Linked DNA regions of Arabidopsis thaliana. The protein of the gene in region 1 interacts with the protein of each later gene in a pairwise test. Each region holds a gene or a part of one and is shown on either strand. Other genes may lie near its edges.

Region 1 (7,241 bases):
ATCTGATAACATGATATTATATGGTTAACAAATTGAAAAATAAGAATCTCTTATTTTTTGAAGACTCAAGCTAGATATGTTAATATTGGCCTTGTCCAAGTTTATACATAGTAATCCCAGTATATACTTTGAATGAAAAGGACCTCATATTATTACAGTATAGTTTATGATAAAAATTGTTTTTTCTTAATCATAAAATTCTTTAGAGTCTCACCTACGACTCTAGGCAAGGCTACAAGATACTGCAACATGAGATCTAGTTGTAGATTCATATATCTTATCCTTATCATTCGCAACATCTCGCTTATATTACAAGAGATCTAAATCATTATAGGTTTATCAATATTAACATCTTGGGCTATAGAAAAAGAAATATATATTGAGAGAGAGCAGAGAGTGAACATGGAGTGAGTGTCATATGAATATGATTCATCATGATGAGGAGAAAGAGTTAATATACTGTTGTGTCAGTTTTGGACGTAAGAGAAAGTTTGTCCCACTTGTTGGTGAATCCACAGTTCCTCTGGTCAACACTCTTCTGAACCTATTTTTTTGTTTGTCTCTTTCTCTTAGCTTTCTATTTTTTCTTTCTTGTCACTTCATAGATTTCTATTTACACTCTTTAATCTCATTTGTTTTCGTGATAACTTCTAAACTGCGATCGTAATTTTCTACTTTAATTGGGGAAAAGGCCAATAGTTCCTTTTTAAACACAACAATATCGATTTGGTTCCGTTATGATATTATTATGTTACTATACATAGCTTTTTACCCCCCAGTTGTTACAATACATAGATTTTGTTGGTTTTTAACTATTAAGTGCACACGGCAGCGTAGACAGTGACAACAAGTTGTCTATACGGACAATCAGATGTCCAAACTTAATGATAACTTATTCTTAACTTCACATATTTTTAAGACGTAATATGTTGCATTGTGCTAAACTATAAATGATGAGTTATTATATGATCAATAATAATAATGCGGTGATAAATTAACTATGTGAGAACATTGTTTAGGTTTCTAGTTTTAATTATAATTATATTTAGTAAGGAAATGGGTGCAAATTAAATGTTGTTTTGTAGATAAAAGAAAATAATATAAGCATGGGTAAAGATAACGTTAAAGCGACAAGATGAAGGAAACAGTCAAACAGTAGAAAGTAGGACTGTAGGACCATGTTTTTATTGAGAAACATTTGTGTGATTTGATATTACATTTTTATTATGCTCTTTTGACATCTGATTTGATCTAACAAAGCCCCTACCTAGCTAGACCTTCTTTGCATTCAACTACAATTATTTACCAGCGTTTTATTCTCTTTAATTCCCTTGAATACTCCATAAACATTGCAGCAAGAAAAAGAAAAAAAATATTACATTGCAACAAGGTAAAATATTAGTATCGAATCGAGAGTTAAAACTTCAAAGCAAAGGATCTTATCAACTGACTGTCAAAAACTCTGTTTCCTAACTTTGATACGTTACTTATTTATTTTATAAAAAAAATTTGTTTTCTTTTGATGAAAAAATATTCAGATTATATATTAACTCTGAATTCAGATTATACAAAAATTCATAACGTGGCTATGAATATCAACTATTGTTAATTAGCATAATTTCAATATAAATGAATTGTTTTGTTTTTGGCATTACAAATTACTTAATTGATTCCATGCATTGTGTAGTTCAAAGCAATATTTACTAATTAATTTTATCTAAAATAACTGAAACTATTTTTTTCGTACTATCATCATTCGACGCATTTTTATATTAAAAGAACTAAATCATCTTTGAAATCGAATTTTCATACATTTTTAATTTTAAAGGGTAATATATTTGATAGAGTACATATTTATTTATTGATTTTTTATATAAAAATGAGTGAACCGTCTATAATTTATAATTAATAATTATATTAGTGTAATAATGCATTTCTGAAGAGGGGATGGATTAGGTGTAGTATAATAATTATATTAATGTAACGTTTTAATCCCCGGGATTAAAGTGAAATATCACCTCACACGTGAACTGTAGTCAAAGTTCCCTACTTCCCGCATGTAAACCTTACATCACAGTCTAAACACTAAACATAACGCATGACCTAATTCACTTTCACACTGGGTGATGTGATGCTTCTACATTACTCATCCCCATATTAGCGCATTGTTTAACAATTCCACATATATAATCAATTTTTCAAGAAGAAGAAACAGAACAACATTATAGATTTCTTTAGATAATAATGAAACACACATCATATATTATTGGTCAACAATTTAACGAGAGAGTTTTGTGAATGTTGTCCGAAACTCATACATAAACACCGTCACAACAGGTAACTGAAACCAATACTTTATAAAATCTTAACATTTAAGCCTACGTACGAGAGATGGTGAAAGAAAGAGACAGGTCTTAATTTCTTCTTCAAACTCAAATCTCCCACACGACTAGATCTGCAAAAGCAGAAAAGAGACCTCGAAATTAAATCACATAAACAATTATATACACACACATGCAGGCACATCCTCCGAAATATGGTAGTATTAGAATTTATACTACAAAAGTCAAAATACACGAAGGCCAAAAAAAGAAAAAAAACCCCAATGAATGCTCTAAAGAAGCGCAAGGTGTGTGTGTGTAATTAAATTAGATTGAGTCAACATTGTTGACCTAAGCCAAACAACATGTCTCTCGCATGCATTTATCCATTTTAGATCCCAATGAAGAAATAAACTAGTACTAATATAGATGTATAAACTATAATTATATAGACATTAAATAAGTATTCATTTTACCATAGTTTATTTAACCGATAGAGTAGTATCTAGCTATAGTGGAACCTTAATTAGTATAACAAAGGAAAATAGAGAGGAAACAAAACCAGATAGTACGAGGCTCCGTGTTGAAGAGGGTGAAGAGCGACGCCATATTCATCGGTGACAATGGGCTGACCCGCGGAATTAATCAGAACAACCTCTTCCCCAAATGCATCCCTCACATTGAACGGTCCTGAGCTCACTTCAAGCTCCATTTCATTGATGAAAACTCTTATTCGTGCGTCCGCTGCATCCATATTTAGCCATTGTTATCCCATTATTTCATGTTAGTATAATGACTATAACAATCTATATAAAACAAAATTGTAAAGCTCACACAATCTATTTTCAAGAAAGAGAGAGAGGGTATATAGAAATAAAGAATCATCTAAAGGCTACTAAACATGAAGGTTTTAAAAAAAGATTTGTATGGATCAATGTGTCCCTTACATTGTTGACACAAAATTAATGTATCTCTACGATTGAGTAAAATTTCAACATGTATATAAGTAATCTATAACTTAAAAAGGGTGATAACTTTATATATTAACATTACCTTGAACTTGAAGCTGGTCCGAAGTTGATGGGACAGTAGCGAGAGAATGCGAAGTAGTAATAGTGGTGGCAGTAGAAGTAGTGGGAGGAATATGAAGCATGATGTTATTGTTGTTGTTGTTGTTGTTGTAAGAAGCTATTTGATGATTAGTGGTAGCGTAACAAATCTGAGTCTGTGGCTGTTGCAACATCTTCATCCTCATTTCTTCAACTTCTTTCTCACTCAAGTGTTGTTGATGATGAGTTCCATAACTCACACTACCGTTCATGATCTCACTCAGCAGGAGTCCGGTACACGTTGGAGCCGGTTTTTGTTGCTCAATCATATCACCGGAGAGAAACCCTAATTGGGATGAGACGGTGATACCTTCAAACCCTCCGACAGTGGAGACCGGGAAGAGAAACGCCGGTTCCGGTGGAAACATCCCCATCATTTGACTACCACCCAAAGAGAGATTAGTGTTGTTCTTGTTCTTGCTTTTTCGGGGTTTGGTGGATTTGGAGGAGGAAGAGGAGGAGGAAGAGGAAGAGGAAGCCGAAGGTTGCGGCTGCGGCTGCGGTTGCGTTTGAGGGAGAGAGTGTTTGGAGTGGTTGTGGAGGAGGCGGAGTTTGTGTTTACTACGGGACTTACGGTTTTGGAACCAGTAGAAGACGTTAGCATCACCGACTTGGCCGTATTCTTGAAGCTGAGCCCTAATCCTCCTGATCTCCTCTCTTGGAGGATTCACCATCCCGGAGTTAAAGATTGCTTCAAGTATCCGAATCTGCTCTGGCTTTGGATTCCATCTTGGTTTTGGCTCTGGACTCCTCTCCACTTCACATCCTAAAAAATTCACAATCTCATCAGATAAGAGTTCTTTAAAACAAAATTTAGTTTTGAATTGGTAAATATGTAGAAGTAGAAGGACCTGAAGAGAAAGGAGAAGATCGGTGAGAAGCAGAAGGCAAGAGAGGAGAGTTGATGTCATGTTGCCATTGATGGGGATGAGGTTTGGACTTGAACATGCTTGGCCAGTGTCTATTCGAAGAAGCCATAACTAATTAACTCGATCCGCAGAACACAGATGTATGTGTATGCATATGATGATGATTGATGTTGAATGATGATGTGATGATGATGTGATGTGTCAAAAAGAGAGGAGGAAGAGACAGGGAACAGAATGGCTAAATGGAAAGATAAATAAAAATGTGAATAGGGCAAAAGGGTTACGACCTCTTTCTCTCCCTCTTATAGCCTCTCTTCACCTACCCAACCTGTTTTCATATATTCATTCATCTCTTTTACATAAATTTAATTTAAAGTCTCACCCATATTTCTATACACCATTTCTCTTTCTCTCTATATCTATGTATCTATCTATGATGTATAGATGTGTATCTATATCATTATGTGTATATGTTTAGTAAAGACAAAAAAAACTATCACTACTTCTCTTGTTTAGGGAATCAAATGAATTAGAGAAGTAGGCTAAATCCTATTAACAGAAATGTTATAAAAGAAAATAGGAACACTGTTTTCATTACGTTTTATTATTAACTACTTCAGTCAAACAGTATGATTTAGTTGCATACTTGCATTAAATAGTTTTGAACAAAAAAAATTGCATTAAAAAGTAAATTTATTAATTCTATAGAAGGTCTTTGATCGCTTATATATAGATTATGAGGAGCACTTTGACATTTTAGATTTGAATCCAGTTTTGCTTGTCATGGTTCAATTATGATAAAATAAAAACTGTTTTAGGGGTTAGTTCCCTTTAGTGTCATCTAGTGGGAAAATGTGTATATCACCAATGGAAATTCAAAAGGCATTATTACAGTATTAAAAAAAGAGTGACAAGGTTAGTATTTAAGTACGTCAAAATGTGCTAGTCGACGAGTAGCCTATATTGCTATAACGTTAAATCACTGATGGATTGACCAATACTTCAATAACAAATAGAAGAAGACAATTTTGGAAATCTTAAATTTCTTCAACAGTCATTTGATTAGTTGTGTATCATGAGCGTTTCTTTTAGCCTCGCAAACAAATAGAAGACCGCATGCATTCACACTGTCTAATAAACCACTTTGAGAGTCCGAAGGAGCTTCACTGAATTAGCCCCAAACCATATCAATCTCACTCACAAATGACCAAATTGATAGCATACCCTGTGGCGAATGCTTAATACCATTAAATAATTTTATCATTTGTGTTTTTCATATATGTACAAAAAAATCCAAAATCCATATGAAAATAACTGATAGAGAGACTAGTTATATGTGCCCAAAAAAAAAAAAAAAGAGAGAGACTAGTTATATAGATTTATAGAGTGGGTACTGAATTATTTAAAAATATTCAATATTTATTATAAGAAATTATTTTAGCAATTTTAAAAAGTTGCCATACAAAGTCATCTGTAATTTTACAAGGGTATTTGAAGCGCACTCCAAAAATTTCTGTTTACTTTAGGTTTATACTAATAGACTCTGAATTCATATTACTAAATTAAAAAATTTAATTAGTAGAGCAATACAGATTTTCTGTTACTACATCCATATTAGAGTTTGCATGGTATTTCATTCGTTTGTTTTGTTATTCACATTCCTAATATCAATTTCTGAGATAGAAAACAGTAAGAGACAGGAAGAAACTCAAAGTGATCATTAATGCAACCCCATGCCTCACTTCCTTACACTTCTTGCATTAAACTCCAAACTGCTTCTGCAGTTCAAACGTACGAACACAAATTTCTTCAGAAATTGAAACAACAGATTCTTTGAAAGTGATCCATGTTTGGTTCTGAACTAGGATTTTTTCTCCTTTTTATTATTTTCTCCTCTGACATCTCAAAAAAAAACATTAATTAAAACAAGACAGAAAGATTGTAAATTTTCTCACATTTTATGTTTATTTATTAACTATAACAAGATGGGTTTTTATTATTTGCTTGTATTACAAAAAAATAAAATCATGTAGTTTCTGGATTTTCAGTCTGTGCAGAAGAGGATTCTCTCGGTCACCTTCGGGGCATCGGCCTTAAATTCGGATGGGGAGCAAATGGTTTGTTTGGACGTAGGAATAGTCATAATCAAATTAGCAAACACGATTTTAGGAGTTTTGTGATGTAATAGTACGGAAAAAAGAAACATGTATTAATGGGGAAAATACGAAATTTTAAGAGGTCAGGATGGGTGGTGGTGTATAGTAATTGCAAAGAAATTAAGGTCATTTTTTTTTGGATTGACTCGAGGGTCTTTGTTGATGATCGTTCCCTTTAATAACGTATTAATAATTCTTCAGTTTCTTTTGAAATATTAAGATTCTTTTCATCTGCATTTATTTCAAATATAAACTAAATGGAGCCTTTTTTATCAGACAAAAAAAAAAAACTAAATGTGAGCTTTATTTAAAAGACTAACTATTGAATGGGACTATGGGACAATGCTAAACAGTCTTAGTTTATAAATCATAACTTTGTGATAGGATGCAAATAAATCAAAACAAAATGTGGCATCTCCATTTAACACAAGCGGTTATCAGTGTTAACTAGATCTGTAAGTAACATTGCAAAGTCTCGTTCCAAGGACTGGTCCAAGATTATTAAGGATTCCAAAGCAAAACAATTTATGGCCTTATTTTTAAGCAAAAAAATAAAGATATTTTAGTTATGTGGATATAGTAGTATTTTATTTGTTCTTAAAATTAAAATATAAAATATATGTTTAGGCTGTTTTGGTGCTCGGGCCTTTGCAGCTTAACTTCGGCTGAATCAGAAAATGGCGATCAATGCAACCATTTAAATATCTATATTTCCATCTATTCTTATGAAACAATAAACAATTCGTTTTGATTGAAAAAAAAAACAACAACAAACAATTCGATGTA
Region 2 (6,455 bases), on another chromosome or scaffold:
TACTCTTTTATGATTTTGAGTTTTTGACCACTTTTATGTGTGTGTTTTTGGTCTTTTAGTTGACTGTCCGGCTACTTCTAAAAGAATGGCACTTCTCTGATGGCTCACATAGCTTGAATAGCGTTAATTCGAGTTCATTACACTCCCTCGACAGCTCGTCTGCCCTCCTCTCGAAAACCGGCCGGAAAATTATCGTGACGGTTTTGGCTGGAAAGAACCTTGTTTCTAAAGATAAGTCCGGAAAATGTGATGCCTCTGTCAAGTTACAGTACGGAAAAGTAAGTACTCTCTTCATGATTTTGCTTCAAAATGGCTATTGCACGATCTTAAAATCTTAAGAGGTTGGCATGTGCTTGAATGGTTTGTAGATTATACAAAAGACGAAGATAGTGAACGCAGCAGAGTGTGTGTGGAACCAGAAATTTGAGTTCGAAGAGTTAGCCGGAGAAGAATATTTAAAGGTGAAATGCTATAGAGAAGAGATGCTTGGCACGGACAACATCGGTACAGCTACATTGAGTCTTCAAGGAATCAATAACAGCGAAATGCATATATGGGTTCCGCTTGAAGATGTTAATTCTGGAGAAATAGAGCTTTTGATCGAAGCTTTGGATCCCGAGTACAGCGAAGTAAGTGTTTTGAGGAAAACAAACATCACTCTGTTTCTTTGTTTTTCCTCATTGATGTTTTTTTCTGGCTTGATCGCAGGCGGATTCTAGTAAAGGCTTGATTGAATTGGTTCTCGTTGAAGCGCGGGATCTTGTGGCCGCGGATATTAGAGGAACCAGTGATCCTTATGTTAGGGTTCAATATGGAGAGAAGAAACAGAGGACAAAGGTATTATAGAAACTGTTTTGGACCAAAAAGACTTCATAAAGAAAACAAAACTTACAGATGGCTTTTTTCTCGTGTGATTGTTGTTTTCAGGTGATTTATAAGACGTTGCAACCAAAATGGAACCAGACAATGGAGTTTCCAGATGATGGGAGCTCCTTGGAGCTACATGTGAAAGACTATAACACTCTGCTTCCGACTTCAAGCATCGGTAACTGCGTTGTGGAGTACCAAGGGTTAAAGCCAAATGAGACTGCCGATAAGTGGATAATTCTCCAAGGAGTGAAACACGGGGAGGTCCATGTCAGAGTCACGAGGAAAGTCACGGAGATTCAGAGACGCGCCAGCGCAGGTCCTGGCACACCGTTTAACAAAGCTCTGTTACTGTCCAACCAGATGAAGCAGGTGATGATAAAGTTTCAGAATTTGATTGACGATGGAGATCTTGAAGGTCTTGCTGAAGCTTTAGAAGAGCTGGAAAGTTTGGAGGACGAACAAGAACAGTATTTGCTCCAGCTTCAGACAGAGCAATCGCTGCTTATCAACAAGATCAAAGACCTTGGTAAGGAGATTCTTAACTCATCCCCAGCTCAAGCCCCGTCTCGAGATTCTTAACTCGTCCCCAGTTCAAGCCCCGTCTCATTCCCCATCTCGATCAGGCTCGGGTTCGGGGACAGGATCCTCCTATAACCGGAGATTACCCGCACCAATGTAGTCACTTGTTTTTCCCGATCAAACAATCATCTATGATGTATATAGATAGATATGTAGGGGCATTGGATAAAATGTTCAGAGAGAGTTGAGCCCTTGTTACAAAGTTAGATACATATGATATGTAACATATCAAATCTGTAAGTTTCTTATTATTCCCTTTGTTATTCTGTAACAATAAAAACTGTTGTAATTGTTTGTAAAACTGTTGTTCTGTGTCTAGGCTGATCAGTCATTTACAGAAGCAAAATAGTTCTTTTGACCTCAAGTGTTATCTAGTCTCCTCAGCACAGTGAGATATTTTTCAGATTAATAATTGGTTAATTTCTCATCCCCACAAATGTTGTAAAGCTAAATGACTCGAGGTAAGATTCCTAACTTGTAAACTTAAGCCTTGAAAAGAATAAATCCACATGATTCGAGCATGTTTGTTCAAAAGAGTAAAAAACCGGTGACCATCAACAGATGATGAATAAACCGGACTAAACCATAAATATTCCATCATACATGAAGGATCAAGTAACATGGCATGATACAGCTTTAGATGACTAATTCATTGTGTGAGAGTACAATGCATATGATCCCAAGTTAACCTCTACTAGTAACTGTGAAAAATGGCTGTTACAAACGGGGATAGAAATTACATGGCCTAGGCTGAACCAGCGGGAACAGTAGCTGCATTGGAGCTAGGCTGAACCAAAGTGGCTGGAGTGGCACTCAGGCTCGGATCTTTTGACTCGGGTGCAACAATGGGAACTGTAGCTCCGGGTAGTGACAGAGGGGTTTTTGCAGCCGCATCTAGAGCGGGTATCTGATGCTGATTTGAGTTAGCCAAATCGTTTACGGCGTTGTGAAGTTGTTGTAGCCTGTAATCTGTCTCGGGCCGCCGACAAATCTTCCTCAAGGGAACGATTTCCTGCTGGGATAACGGAAAAGAAATCCAAAATAGGTGAGTGAGGAGGGTTTTGCTTTATGGTCTAAACCATGAAATGGAGCTGACGGGTAAATAAAACCGCAAGGGATAGAGAGAGAGAGAGAGAGATGATCGTCCAACCTCGGACTGGTCGTGGCTGTAACGCACCAAGAACCTACAACGACAACCTCTGACATCATGTCTTCTTCTCTGTGCGTCAAGAACAATGGCGTCAAAGTAAAGAGCTTGATCTTTTCCTTCCTGAAGATGTTATAACATAGTTCTAGTCAGGGATAAACTAACATGACACCTATCACTAAATGCTTAGAGAGCGAAGTTCTAAACCTGGAAACAAAGGACGAGATCTCCAGCAAGAACTGCAACACATTCTGATGCTTCACATGGGAGAGACCGTTGTCTTACATGCTTTTTGACATTTATCCATTCATCTTCTTCAACTTCGAAACCCGCAAATCGAACCTGCACTTCCTGAAATACCCAACAGAAAGATTGTTGTTAGCAAAACAAAAAAGGGGAACAAATAAGTCAACAAGAGGTTGGTTAGGAATTACCGGATCACCAATCTCCAAGTTTCTATGAGCTAGGAAAGCTTGCACATCATACCTGTAAGTAAGCAAGAGAGTTACATATCAGAGAAAACCAGTGGAATGTAATGATATTGTTACAAAGTATCATAAGTCAGCAAAAAAAATACTGAAGATTGAATGCAAGGGAATCACCATGCACCATCCCTGGCAGATTTGGCTTCAAATTCCAAGTAAGAGTTGTCTGAACCACTCCTCATGACACCGGGAACTATGAGGAAAAGCAGTAAACAGTTACGAAAATGGCATCTGTGCAATATCAGCCATACTGATCTAGACTTATGGAGAAAAAACTAAAACTGAAAAAACCAATGAAACCTATTCCAATAAATAACCTTCTCAACCTATTTTACTGAGAGTAGAATAAATAAAGCACCTAAACTACCAGAAGGGGCAGGCGTCATGCCGGGTAAATTTCCAGTCATATGAGTGGTTTTAGGAACTGATAATGGTTGAATCACACTTCTCATCTGATTTGGTAAATCCATACGCGGCATGGAAGATACATTTAGCTTCCCAGGAGCTTTGTTTCCCCTTGCTCGTAAAGCATATCGCCTATTTTGAAACCAGTTCCAGATCTGTGATGCATTAAAACAACATTCCCATTAACTTTTAAAAGCAAACCCAACAGACTCTGTCTGATAAAACTTAAGAATCAAGAAGGAAAAAGCCAGTACTTGCTTGAACTGCACAACAACTTTCCCCTTCCGCTCAGGTGATTCACTGAGACAACAGATAACAAAAAGTAACCACATTTTAGATGATAAAGACACAAAATCACTTTCAGGCCAAGGAATTGAGCAACAACAAGTAAAATACCTAAACTTATCAGCAAGAGCTTCAAGAATATGTCGACCTGGCATTGCTGTATTATGCTGTAGCAAAATTGCTTCCATCTCCGTTACCTTCATAACAATTGAAGATTAGCTATAACAAACAAGATAAAACCTCTTCAAAAGAAGTCACAAAACCATAGAACAACAGATAGATAGAAAAACTTATGTATTATCAAATCTAAACTCTTAAACATTACTTAATAAAGTAAAGCCAATGGATTTCAGAACATACATCGAATTGTCTTCAAGTTTCTACTAGCTAATTACAAAAATTCAATTGGACTTCAGGATCTAAACCCTATCATGAACCCAAAAAGAAGACCTAAATCCTAAGGAACAAAACCGACACAAAAATCAGATTTTTCAGCTCTGGGAGCTCAAAATCCGTGAAAGCAACACATTACAAAGAATCGAGATAAACCTCAGGCAGGATAAATCGAAACGCCGGACCGCCATTACTGGGAGGTCGACCCATGGTATCTTCTTCGTCTCACCGAAGAAAAAACAAAAATTGGCGGCAGAAAGTGAAATCAATCGGAGCTTCTCTCACTTAATATTCGAATTCACGGTGAATCTCTCTAGTACGGCCGGTGACCCAACGACAACGAAACCGGTTTTACTCAGACCCGACTCCGTCGCTTATATAACTTTTCACCTGTGTAATTTTTTTAAACTTAACATGTAGTAATGGGCTTTTAAAACCCATTAAAGGCCCATTTTCCTAAAACCGATACAAAAATCTTATCCGTATGGTCGAGTAAATCCAGCTTATCCGCCTGAAACTTATTTCTCAGTATCCAAAACGATGGCGAAGAAGACACTTCGCTGAAGCTTTTTTTTCCAAAAAAATTTCTTAGTGTCGTCAATGGCTTTGGCTCCACTTAATTTTACGGAAATGCCACTGAGAAGCTCTCTTCCTCTGACCTCTAGCTCTCGCTATTGTTCCTCTCCTTCGCTTCACGCATTGCTCTTCTATTCGTTGGGTGTGAAACCCTCGCGTCAACAAATTGTTCGGCCATTCTCTTCGCTGCGTACAAGCGAGCGTAGCAACAACAGGAGCAATAACAATCGTCGATTAGATCAACGTAATCATAAACCTACTCCTCCTTGGATAGATAAGTGGCCTCCGTCATCCTCCGGAGCTGGCGGTGATCATGCCGGGAAGAAAGGTGGTGAAAACAACGGCGGAGATAGAATTCGGTCTGCGGAGGAGGAAGCGGAAGCGAAACTTCGGTATTTGGAGAAGGATAAAGGACAAAACGCGATTGAGAGGATTGTTCTTCGGCTACGGAATTTAGGATTAGGTTCGGATGATGAGGACGATGTGGAAGATGACGAGGGAGGTGGAATTAACGGCGGAGATGTGAAGCCGGTGACTGGAGAAGAGAGATTGGGGGATTTGTTGAAGAGAGAGTGGGTGAGACCTGATATGATGCTTGCTGAGGGAGAAGAGAGTGAGGAAGAGGATGAGGTATTATTGCCATGGGAGAAAAATGAGGAAGAGCAGGCGGCGGAGAGAGTAGTAGGAGAAGGAGGAGTGGCGGTGATGCAGAAGAGGAGAGCTAGAGCTCCATCACTGGCGGAGCTCACCGTTGAGGATTCTGAGTTACGGCGGTTAAGGAGGGATGGAATGTATCTGAGGGTTAGGATCAATATACCAAAAGCTGGGCTAACGCAGGCAGTGATGGAGAAGATTTATGATACTTGGAGGAAAGAAGAGCTTGTGAGGCTAAAGTTCCACGAAGTGCTTGCTCGTGACATGAAGACGGCCCATGAGATTGTTGAGGTTCGTTAGTTCTCTTGAATACTTCATTGATTAGAACAGTAGGTTAGCGAAATTTGAGGTGCGAGATTATTCCAAGAGAGAGCGGTTTTCATTATCTATTGGGGATAAGCTTTGCGGAAGTGACATGATCTTTATAGGATAGTAAGAGACTCTGAAGTACCTAAGCTCTGAAATAGAATGGTTATAAAGCTTTTATAATAACAGTAGGAAATTTGTGAAAAACGTTAGATCTTTCTTGGGAACGATTATATAGTTGTGAATAAGGTGAATTTGAGGTGTTGATTAACTAGAGTGGATGGAGCTGAGCATGCTGTTAGAATTCTTTGAGTAACAAGACTGTGCAGGAGATGCATGTCTTAACTTTAGGTTTAAAAAAAAACTGATTGAATTACTCTAATGGGCAGCGTCGAACTGGTGGAATGGTGATATGGAGGGCCGGAAGTGTAATGGTGGTTTATCGTGGACTTGACTATAAAGGACCTCCTGTGATCTCTAATCAAATGGCCGGTCCTAAAGAGACTCTTTTTGTCCCAGATGTATCTTCTGCTGGCGATGAAGCAACAAATGCCAAAGATAACCAAAGTGCACCTTTGGTAATCAAAGATCCGATCATCAAGAACCCTATTCGCAAAGAGAATATGACAGAAGAAGAAGTTGAATTTAACAGTCTATTAGACAGCTTAGGTCCACGTTTTCAAGAGTGGTGGGGTACTGGGGTACTACCTGTGGACGCTGACTTACTACCTCCTACAATTCCTGGTTATAAAACA
Region 3 (8,132 bases), on another chromosome or scaffold:
CCATCAAATTCTCAAGATTCTTCTCTTCAACTTTCCCTCCTTTACCAATCACTGTATCAAACGCCGACAGCTAAAGTCCAAAAACCAAAAAAAACAATTCTGATTCAAGTTACGAGACAAGAGCGTTGTTATCCGGAAAATTTAAAATTATGTTTCTTAAGTTACTTGTCCGGCGAGTCTTTCGACTTGGAAACTAATATCAGAGATTGCTTTAGATGATTTCTCTTTGGTGGCGATTTTCCTCAACTCAAGGAGACGTTTCTCCTGAGAAATGGGATCTTCTATAAGAATAAGTTTCGAACGATCTTTGACACCAGAAAGATCAAGAAACATCTTTGAGTCTCTTTCTTTGTCTTTGTATATAATCTGCATGTCTTGATGATGAACTCCTGTCGCACCAGACAATATCTTCTTTAATTCCCCTGTTGTTAAATTCAACAACAACAACAATCAAATTCCAAAAACAGAGCATACTAATAGTATAAAGGAAATACTGTATAACTCGGAATGTTTTGTGTCGTTTACCGAAAGTAGATTGAGAGTTGATACTGATCTCGTGATGGACCGACCCGTATTTGACCCGAACCCGAATGCCACGTGGCACGCTTGAGCTATGATCCGTCCTTTTCTGTACAACCATTCCTCCAGGTCGGAGCTCCATTTCACCGTCGCCGGAAGTTGTTGTTCCGATACTCATTTTCATCATTTTCTTTATTAAGAGAGATAGAGAGAAAAAAACAGAGGAATGATGAGATGAAGTTGATTTCTGAAAAAGATCAAGAAGAAGAAGAAGAAAAAAGAAACGTCTGAGCAAAGAGAAGTAAATACACTTTGTTTTGTAATAAATTAATGTTTCTGTTTCTGGACAGAACTCGTGGAAGAAGAAGAAAGATAAGAATCATATAAAGCAGATTATTGTTTTATAAAATTTTATACAATGAGAAAAAAAAGTTAAAGAAAAGAGTGACAGCTAATGTGATTGTTGTTATGTCTCATTATCAGTCCATCACAGATACATATATTTAATATAAATGTTGTATCCCCCACATATTTATTTCTATTTCTGATAAATAATGACGATATATTAATGTCGTTGTTACATTTATATTTATTTGTCATCGTTCTTCTGTATTTTATAAGTCGTGTTCTACGTTTCTAAGTACAGGTAAGCTAATGAAATAACTGAAACAGAAACTTGTGTTACACGTCACGCCTTTAACTCCGACAAACTCTGCAACTTAAAAATCTCTCTTTCTTGCAGATCCACATTGTCTAGAATTATCGTCGGTGTTGTGTGTCTTCTTGCCAAGTTTTGAATGATCCATGGACCGTACGGACCACACACGAGCTTTCTTTGATCATTTCTTGAACAAGCTAGTGCTTTAGAGACAGAGACACCGGTTAGGTTTGACCTCAAGACTGTTCGAGAACAGAGCTTTGAACGGTTGGAGAACAGAGTATAATTATTTATGGGCTAATAATGGGCCTAAAAATACTGAAATAGGCCTGTTGGGTCGTAGCTCCATATAGTTGGATGATCTTGTCGAAATATTTTAGGGGTTGAATTGTCAAAGGGAGTAATATTGGGGTCAATAAGTAATCATGCAAAAAAGAGGATATTTGTCGTAAGCCCACTCATTTACAGCTGCAATCATTGGTACAGTTATTACAAAAAAATAAAATAAAAAACATAATTTGGTCAATCAACTTTAAACTACACGCGTCGCACACGATCCATGCTCTCAATCGAACGATCCACAATTGATTTAACTTTATTGATCGCAAGGTCAAGAATATGCCACGCAATCAAAACAGCTAAAGGTTACCAATCGGTCATACGATACTTGTTACGATAAACAAGACACGTGTCAGTATTGACTAGCGGGTAATAAAAAGTACTTGCAAAACCATAAGCAGATGGGTCACCGGCTTGTCCGGTCAGATTTGGTTCTTACGATTTCCTCTAGGTATATTAACAAAGGCGCGTCAAGTTCATTGCCTAGTTCCAGCTCTCTCCAGGATTTTCCTTTTTTTTATGCAAAAACAACAAACACAAAATAAATAAGAAGATTGTTTATTTTAACTTTATATTACAGCTTGAAATTTCCAGGCAAATTTTTTTCCTTCTTCTTCTTCTTCTTCTTGTCTCATTAATTATCTTCCTCTTCTTCTGTTTCAATTCAGCTGGGTTTAGTTTTAATTTCTAGTTGTGATCTCTCAGCTTTTGTTCTATATTGATCGAAGCTCCACTTAACAGTTCTTCGTACGTTGTTTCCGTGTTCTTCGCTTTTTTATTTTGTAATTTAATTTCGGTTGCTTTTTAAATATCTAACTCCGAGATTTTTAAGGGATTGCTATCTATTTTTTTTTTTTTTGGGGATTGGTTAGTTTCTCGGTTAGTTATGTTAAGTAACGAACTTTAAAATTAGGGTTTTGATTTGGTTTTTTTTTTATTTCAGTGGTTAAGTTCAATGTCTGTGTATCTTTAATAACGCACCAGATTCATGTGTTAGGGAATGTTATTGATCTGATTTTAATCGATACATGTATAATGTTGTAGGTATCAGTAGTAAAGGTGGGACATTTGTGTCGCATTGAGGAAGAAACTTTGGATTTCAGACTCACTTGGGACCTACCCTTTAATGGCTTCTTCAACTTCTGGGATTTTCTTTCAAGGAGATGATGAATCTCAAAGCTTCATTAACTCTCACTTGACTTCCTCTTATGGGAATTCATCTAACTCTGCTCCTGGATGTGGTGGACCTACTGGTGGCTATCACAATCTCAGTATGGTTTCTGGTGATATGCATAATCCGGTTATGATGAGTGTTTCAACACCCGGTCCAAGCGCAGGAGCTAGTTCGCTTGTCACAGATGCTAATTCAGGGCTCTCTGGAGGTGGTCCTCATTTGCAGCGTAGTGCTAGTATCAATAATGAGTCATATATGCGTTTACCGGCGTCTCCTATGTCGTTCTCTTCTAATAATATCAGCATATCTGGTTCATCAGTTGTAGATGGGTCGACTGTGGTACAACGGCATGATCCTAGTGTTCAGCTAGGTGGCTCTAGTGCTACATCACTGCCTACATCACAAACTAATCAAATCCCGCTTTCTATGGCTCGGCGTGCTTCTGAATCGTTCTTTCAGGATCCAAACAACTTAACTCAAGCACGGAAAAAACCTAGATTAGATTCAAAGCAGGATGATGCTTTGCAGCAGCAGATTTTACGTCAGTGGCTTCAGAGACAGGATATATTGCAGCAGCAGCAGCAACAACAACAACAAGGCCAAAATCCACAGTTCCAAATCTTGCTTCAGCAACAAAAGCTGAGGCAACAGCAACAATATCTCCAGTCCCTCCCACCATTGCAACGGGTTCAACTGCAGCAGCAGCAACAAGTGCAGCAACAGCAACAGTTGCAGCAGCAGCACCAACAGCAACAGCAACAGTTGCAACAACAAGGAATGCAAATGCAACTAACCGGTGGGCCAAGACCTTATGAAAATAGCGTTTGCGCTCGAAGATTGATGCAGTACCTATATCATCAGCGACAAAGGCCTTCTGTGAGTGTGCATGTAGTCGTCAAATTTTTTGTTTTATGTGTATTCTAGAAAAAAGCTCTTGACAGATACCAGTCGTGTCATTGCTGATTTTGTAGGAGAGCAGTATTGTTTACTGGAGGAAATTTGTGACGGAGTATTTTTCTCCCCGGGCAAAGAAAAGATGGTGTCTTTCTCATTATGATAATGTGGGGCATAGTGCACTTGGTGTTTCTCCTCAGGCAGCCACGGTTTGTTTCCCTGACTCTTTGTTTTTTTTGGTTTCATACTCTTTATGCTGATCTTACGGTGTAGTTACAAATAGGTTACTTATTCTTGCTTTTTGTATTTTCCATTTGCAGGATGAATGGCAGTGTGATCTATGTGGTTCTAAATCGGGAAGAGGATTTGGTAAGTTCCAATTTGCTTATACCCTGATGAAGAAGAGGGAAATTTCAAAAATGTTTATGGTAGCAAAACATCTTCTCTTAGTAACTTTTTCTTATGGATTCTGCAGAAGCAACTTTTGATGTCTTGCCAAGGCTTAACGAAATCAAATTCGCAAGTGGTGTCCTGGACGAGCTTCTTTATCTGGGTGTACCGTCTGAACGCAGATATGGATCTGGAATTATGGTGTTAGAGTATGGAAAAGCAGTTCAGGAGAGTGTGTACGAACATATCCGTGTTGTTCGCGAAGGCCATCTTCGGATTATATTCTCCCAAGAGCTGAAGGTGGTTTAAAGAGCTTTTGATTCCAAATACTTTTAATCATTAATGTGTATTAAAGTAACTTAGCTTATCCTTTTTCCTTTTGCCAGATTCTCTCATGGGAGTTCTGTACTCGTCGACATGAAGAACTACTTCCTCGTCGCCTAGTAGCTCCACAGGTAACATTAATGGTTCTTACAATCTTTGTGACTCTTTTTGAAATCCCTGGTCTTGAGATTTTTTGAATGTCTGCTCCCTATGGTCGTGCAGGTGAACCAATTGCTTCAGGTTGCAGAGAAATGTCAGAGCACAATTGATCAAAGTGGATCAGATGGGATTCATCAACAAGATTTGCAAGCTAATAGCAACATGTGAGTCTTGATGATTCTAGACAATATTTCACTCTCTTTCTTCCATATTTCTCAATCAATTCAATTTCATTGTTTCTTGCATCTTGTACGGTAATTAGGTAAGATTTTTCACTGATGCAAAGAAGATCAAAGCGATTTTAGCTTAATATATACAAATATGATGTACTGATGCCAAGTCTTTTGCTCCAGGGTCATGGCTGCTGGACGTCAACTAGCAAAAAGCTTGGAGTCACATTCACTCAATGACTTAGGCTTCTCAAAACGATATGTTCGGTGTCTGCAGGTATCTCTCTGCCTACTTTCTTGCATTTTCCTGGTGGCGTGTCTCCTTTTTACTGTTTAACTCTTGCCATCTTCTTTAAACAGATTTCTGAGGTTGTCAGCAGCATGAAAGATATGATTGACTTTTGCCGTGACCAAAAAGTGGGTCCAATCGGTAAGTTAATACATAAATCCCAGAGAGTCCCTGAGATTCATCAAAACGCTTTTTTTTTACTTGGCTGTGCTTATAAAAAGCTTTCTTGCTACCTTTTAACATTTGCAGAGGCTTTGAAGAGCTATCCATATCGAATGAAGGCTGGTAAACCTCAGATGCAGGAGATGGAGCAACTAGCGGCTGCCCGAGGGCTTCCACCTGATAGGAACAGTCTCAACAAGCTAATGGCCTTGCGCAATTCCGGGATAAACATACCAATGAACAACATGAGCGGTCAAGGATCTCTTCCCGGCTCTGCACAAGCTGCCGCTTTTGCGCTTACCAACTACCAGAGCATGCTCATGAAACAAAACCATCTGAATTCAGACCTAAACAACACCACAATCCAGCAAGAACCATCAAGAAACCGGAGTGCATCCCCGAGCTATCAAGGAACTAGTCCCTTGTTACCTGGTTTTGTGCATAGCCCATCAATAAGTGGTGTATCTTCCCATCTATCTCCTCAGCGGCAAATGCCAAGCTCCAGTTATAATGGCTCAACCCAGCAATACCACCAACAGCCACCTTCCTGTAGTAGCGGTAACCAAACATTGGAACAACAAATGATTCATCAAATATGGCAACAGATGGCAAACAGCAATGGAGGCTCCGGTCAACAACAACAGTCACTTTCTGGTCAGAACATGATGAATTGCAATACCAACATGGGAAGAAACAGAACAGATTATGTTCCCGCAGCAGCTGAAACACCAAGCACCTCCAACAGATTCAGAGGCATCAAGGGGTTAGACCAAAGCCAAAACCTGGAAGGTATTATCTCTAATACATCGCTCAACTTTGGGAATAACGGGGTTTTTAGCAATGAGGTTGATGAAAGCATGGGAGGATATTCTTGGAAGTCATGAGAGGCATTTTGATAGTTAGCTCCAATGTTGTCTTTGTAAAGAACGAGTTACTAAAGACTAACTTTCTTAGGTATATGAATCTGATGAGGGGGATTCAATGTTAACGTGTCTACTGTGTTGTTGTTCTTTCTTCTTCTTAGATTAAAGCTTCTCTTTTTATGAAGAGGTTTTTCTGGAAAGTGTTACTAATTCTGGAAAAGAAAAAAGACTGTTCTTCAGGAACTCATCGCTATCAATCAATATTTTACCTTTTTTCTTATGACTTTTTTTAAGCCTCGTTTATTTAAAGCTGATACAGTTACAAACATCGGTAACACGTCACAAACAAGCCAGACACATGCTATTTTTTTCTCTGAAATTTTAATAAAATGTATTTGTGACGTGATTTTAAATCATACAAAATTCCACAAATACGGATATGTAATCTTCATCTACTTGCACTAATACAGTAATACTTTTCATCTTCAATATACCAACCATCCTACTATCTACAAGAGATAATTTGTCAACTCCTTTTACCATAGTTAATTTCATATATTACATAATTTTGTATATGAAATATTTTTGCTTTGCACTAAAGAATAAAATAAATAAATAAAAAAACCTTGCACTCAGCGTGGTGGATAGAGAACAGAGTGATTTACTTTCACATGTAAATCTTGTGAACTAACTAGACCATGTGACCATGCCAAACGTCTCCTCAACTCATCTAATTAATCACTCAAAATATACACTCAAAACATTATATAAATGATAAATCTAAACATATGATATCATATACATAGAACTACATCAGATATCTATAGAAACAAACTTATCCATGGCAATAATGGCATCGTTCAAGTCTTTCGCAGCCGTTCTCAGTGTCCTTTTTCTTGCCATGACTGCTATAGAAACGGTAGTTCAAGCCCAAGAATGTGGCAACGATCTAGCAAATGTGCAGGTATGCGCCGCCATGGTGCTGCCCGGTTCAGGCAGACCAAATTCAGAGTGTTGCGCCGCACTTCAATCTACTAATAGAGATTGTCTATGCAACGCTCTCCGTGCAGCCACCTCTCTTCCTTCGCTTTGTAACCTTCCTCCTGTGGATTGTGGTACGGATTTATTTACTTTTAACCAAGAAGTTTGATATTTGGCTCGTTATCCCAAGATGAGGATGAATAAAACAAATCTCAATATATATTTAGTTTTAGTTACCAACATTTTAGACTTGGCCTAATATATGGCCAAACCAAAAAGACTTGGCCTAAGATTCCAAGTAGATTAAGTAGGATAAAACCTCATATATCAGCTCTAGCTAACTCGGCTAATGTAGTAATGTGTTTATTTAATGATATATAGACCTCTATTTCATATCTGTTTCTGAGGTTTTTTTGTTTTTTTGTTTGTTTTGTTTTTGGGTTGTGCAGGTATAAATGCTTAGTTAAGCTACGAGTCAATTCCAAGATGATCAAGGAAAACGGGAAAATAAAGAATAATGAGAAATATTCCAGTCTTATGTTTTTTCTTCTAACTTCTGCTTTACTATAATAAAGTTCTAGTAGTTTTGCTTAGAAATTTAGATACTACTAGTATAATAAAAAGCTTTGATAATTATGAGAATAAAACATTCCCGGTCTGAAACCAAATTATTCTTAAACATGTACGTACGTAAGTCTAGACATCAGAAATAAATTAGATTAGTGACTTGTTTAATATGCATGGAAAATCATGTTAGTTTTCATTGTTGCCAAGCTAACAATGTTTGTTTAAAAGCTAGAAAGTCTAAAAATTGCACCTGACCCCTCTAGTGCTTGTTGCTGAATACGACTTGAGGAGGATAGTATTTATTAGTGGTTATAGACGATCGTTATCACAGCTAGTCTTTATTTTCGAATGTTCCCTATTTGTTTTCCTTTTTCGTAGACTTACTTCTAAACTGCATCCTACTGAACAGTAAAATATAGATAACTAAACAAATAGATAGATGAATAAACGAAGAAAACAACACCTTTCAAAATCGAGGGGTTAATCTAGCTAGTGATTAACAACTTCTCTTTATAGAATTTGAAGTACAAGAAGAATTTGAATTGTGCCACCAGAATAACAACCTATGTAACATTTGTATGGCCTGGATAAAAGATAAACACCTATCATCCACACAAAATATATTTCTGATTTCAAAAACATA

The links. Proteins that work in one complex are often made in the same cells at the same time.
Region 2: the proteins of HB-3 (region 1) and SHH2 interact in a two-hybrid assay, tested with the Arabidopsis thaliana proteins (one large-scale study listed by BioGRID).
Region 3: the proteins of HB-3 (region 1) and SLK2 interact in a two-hybrid assay, tested with the Arabidopsis thaliana proteins (one large-scale study listed by BioGRID).

The regions. Positions count from the first base shown.
Region 1 is NC_003071.7:14,339,190-14,346,430, forward strand, and holds HB-3 (homeobox-3), read right to left. Parts: upstream 4,590-7,241; 5' UTR 4,409-4,589; coding exon 4,282-4,408; intron 4,197-4,281; coding exon 3,375-4,196; intron 3,066-3,374; coding exon 2,848-3,065; 3' UTR 2,456-2,847; coding exon of another isoform or gene 2,450-2,455; 3' UTR 2,233-2,449; downstream 1-2,232. UniProt on the Arabidopsis thaliana protein: Homeodomain transcription factor required for meristem growth and early development. Promotes cell proliferation and prevents premature differentiation in meristematic tissues during postembryonic development.
Region 2 is NC_003074.8:6,308,808-6,315,262, forward strand, and holds SHH2 (DNA-BINDING TRANSCRIPTION FACTOR 2), read right to left. Parts: upstream 4,600-6,455; 5' UTR 4,375-4,599; coding exon 4,321-4,374; intron 3,969-4,320; coding exon 3,883-3,968; intron 3,787-3,882; coding exon 3,741-3,786; intron 3,642-3,740; coding exon 3,440-3,641; intron 3,275-3,439; coding exon 3,199-3,274; intron 3,083-3,198; coding exon 3,031-3,082; intron 2,948-3,030; coding exon 2,804-2,947; intron 2,720-2,803; coding exon 2,600-2,719; intron 2,465-2,599; coding exon 2,195-2,464; 3' UTR 1,912-2,194; downstream 1-1,911. Other genes in the region: ATSYTF (C2 domain-containing protein), read left to right, coding at 60-278, 369-629, 709-837, 928-1,449; EMB1865 (CRS1 / YhbY (CRM) domain-containing protein), read left to right, coding at 4,765-5,685, 6,090-6,455.
Region 3 is NC_003076.8:24,933,051-24,941,182, reverse strand, and holds SLK2 (SEUSS-like 2), read left to right. Parts: upstream 1-1,943; 5' UTR 1,944-2,263; exon of another isoform or gene 2,264-2,560; 5' UTR 2,561-2,642; coding exon 2,643-3,566; intron 3,567-3,661; coding exon 3,662-3,793; intron 3,794-3,904; coding exon 3,905-3,953; intron 3,954-4,059; coding exon 4,060-4,274; intron 4,275-4,360; coding exon 4,361-4,429; intron 4,430-4,520; coding exon 4,521-4,621; intron 4,622-4,810; coding exon 4,811-4,904; intron 4,905-4,987; coding exon 4,988-5,057; intron 5,058-5,165; coding exon 5,166-5,962; 3' UTR 5,963-6,221; downstream 6,222-8,132. Other genes in the region: BAG2 (BCL-2-associated athanogene 2), read right to left, coding at 1-70, 166-422, 526-706; AT5G62080 (Bifunctional inhibitor/lipid-transfer protein/seed storage 2S albumin superfamily protein), read left to right, coding at 6,783-7,056, 7,372-7,385. UniProt on the Arabidopsis thaliana protein: Probable transcription regulator that functions in the development of the carpel margin meristem similarly to SEUSS (SEU).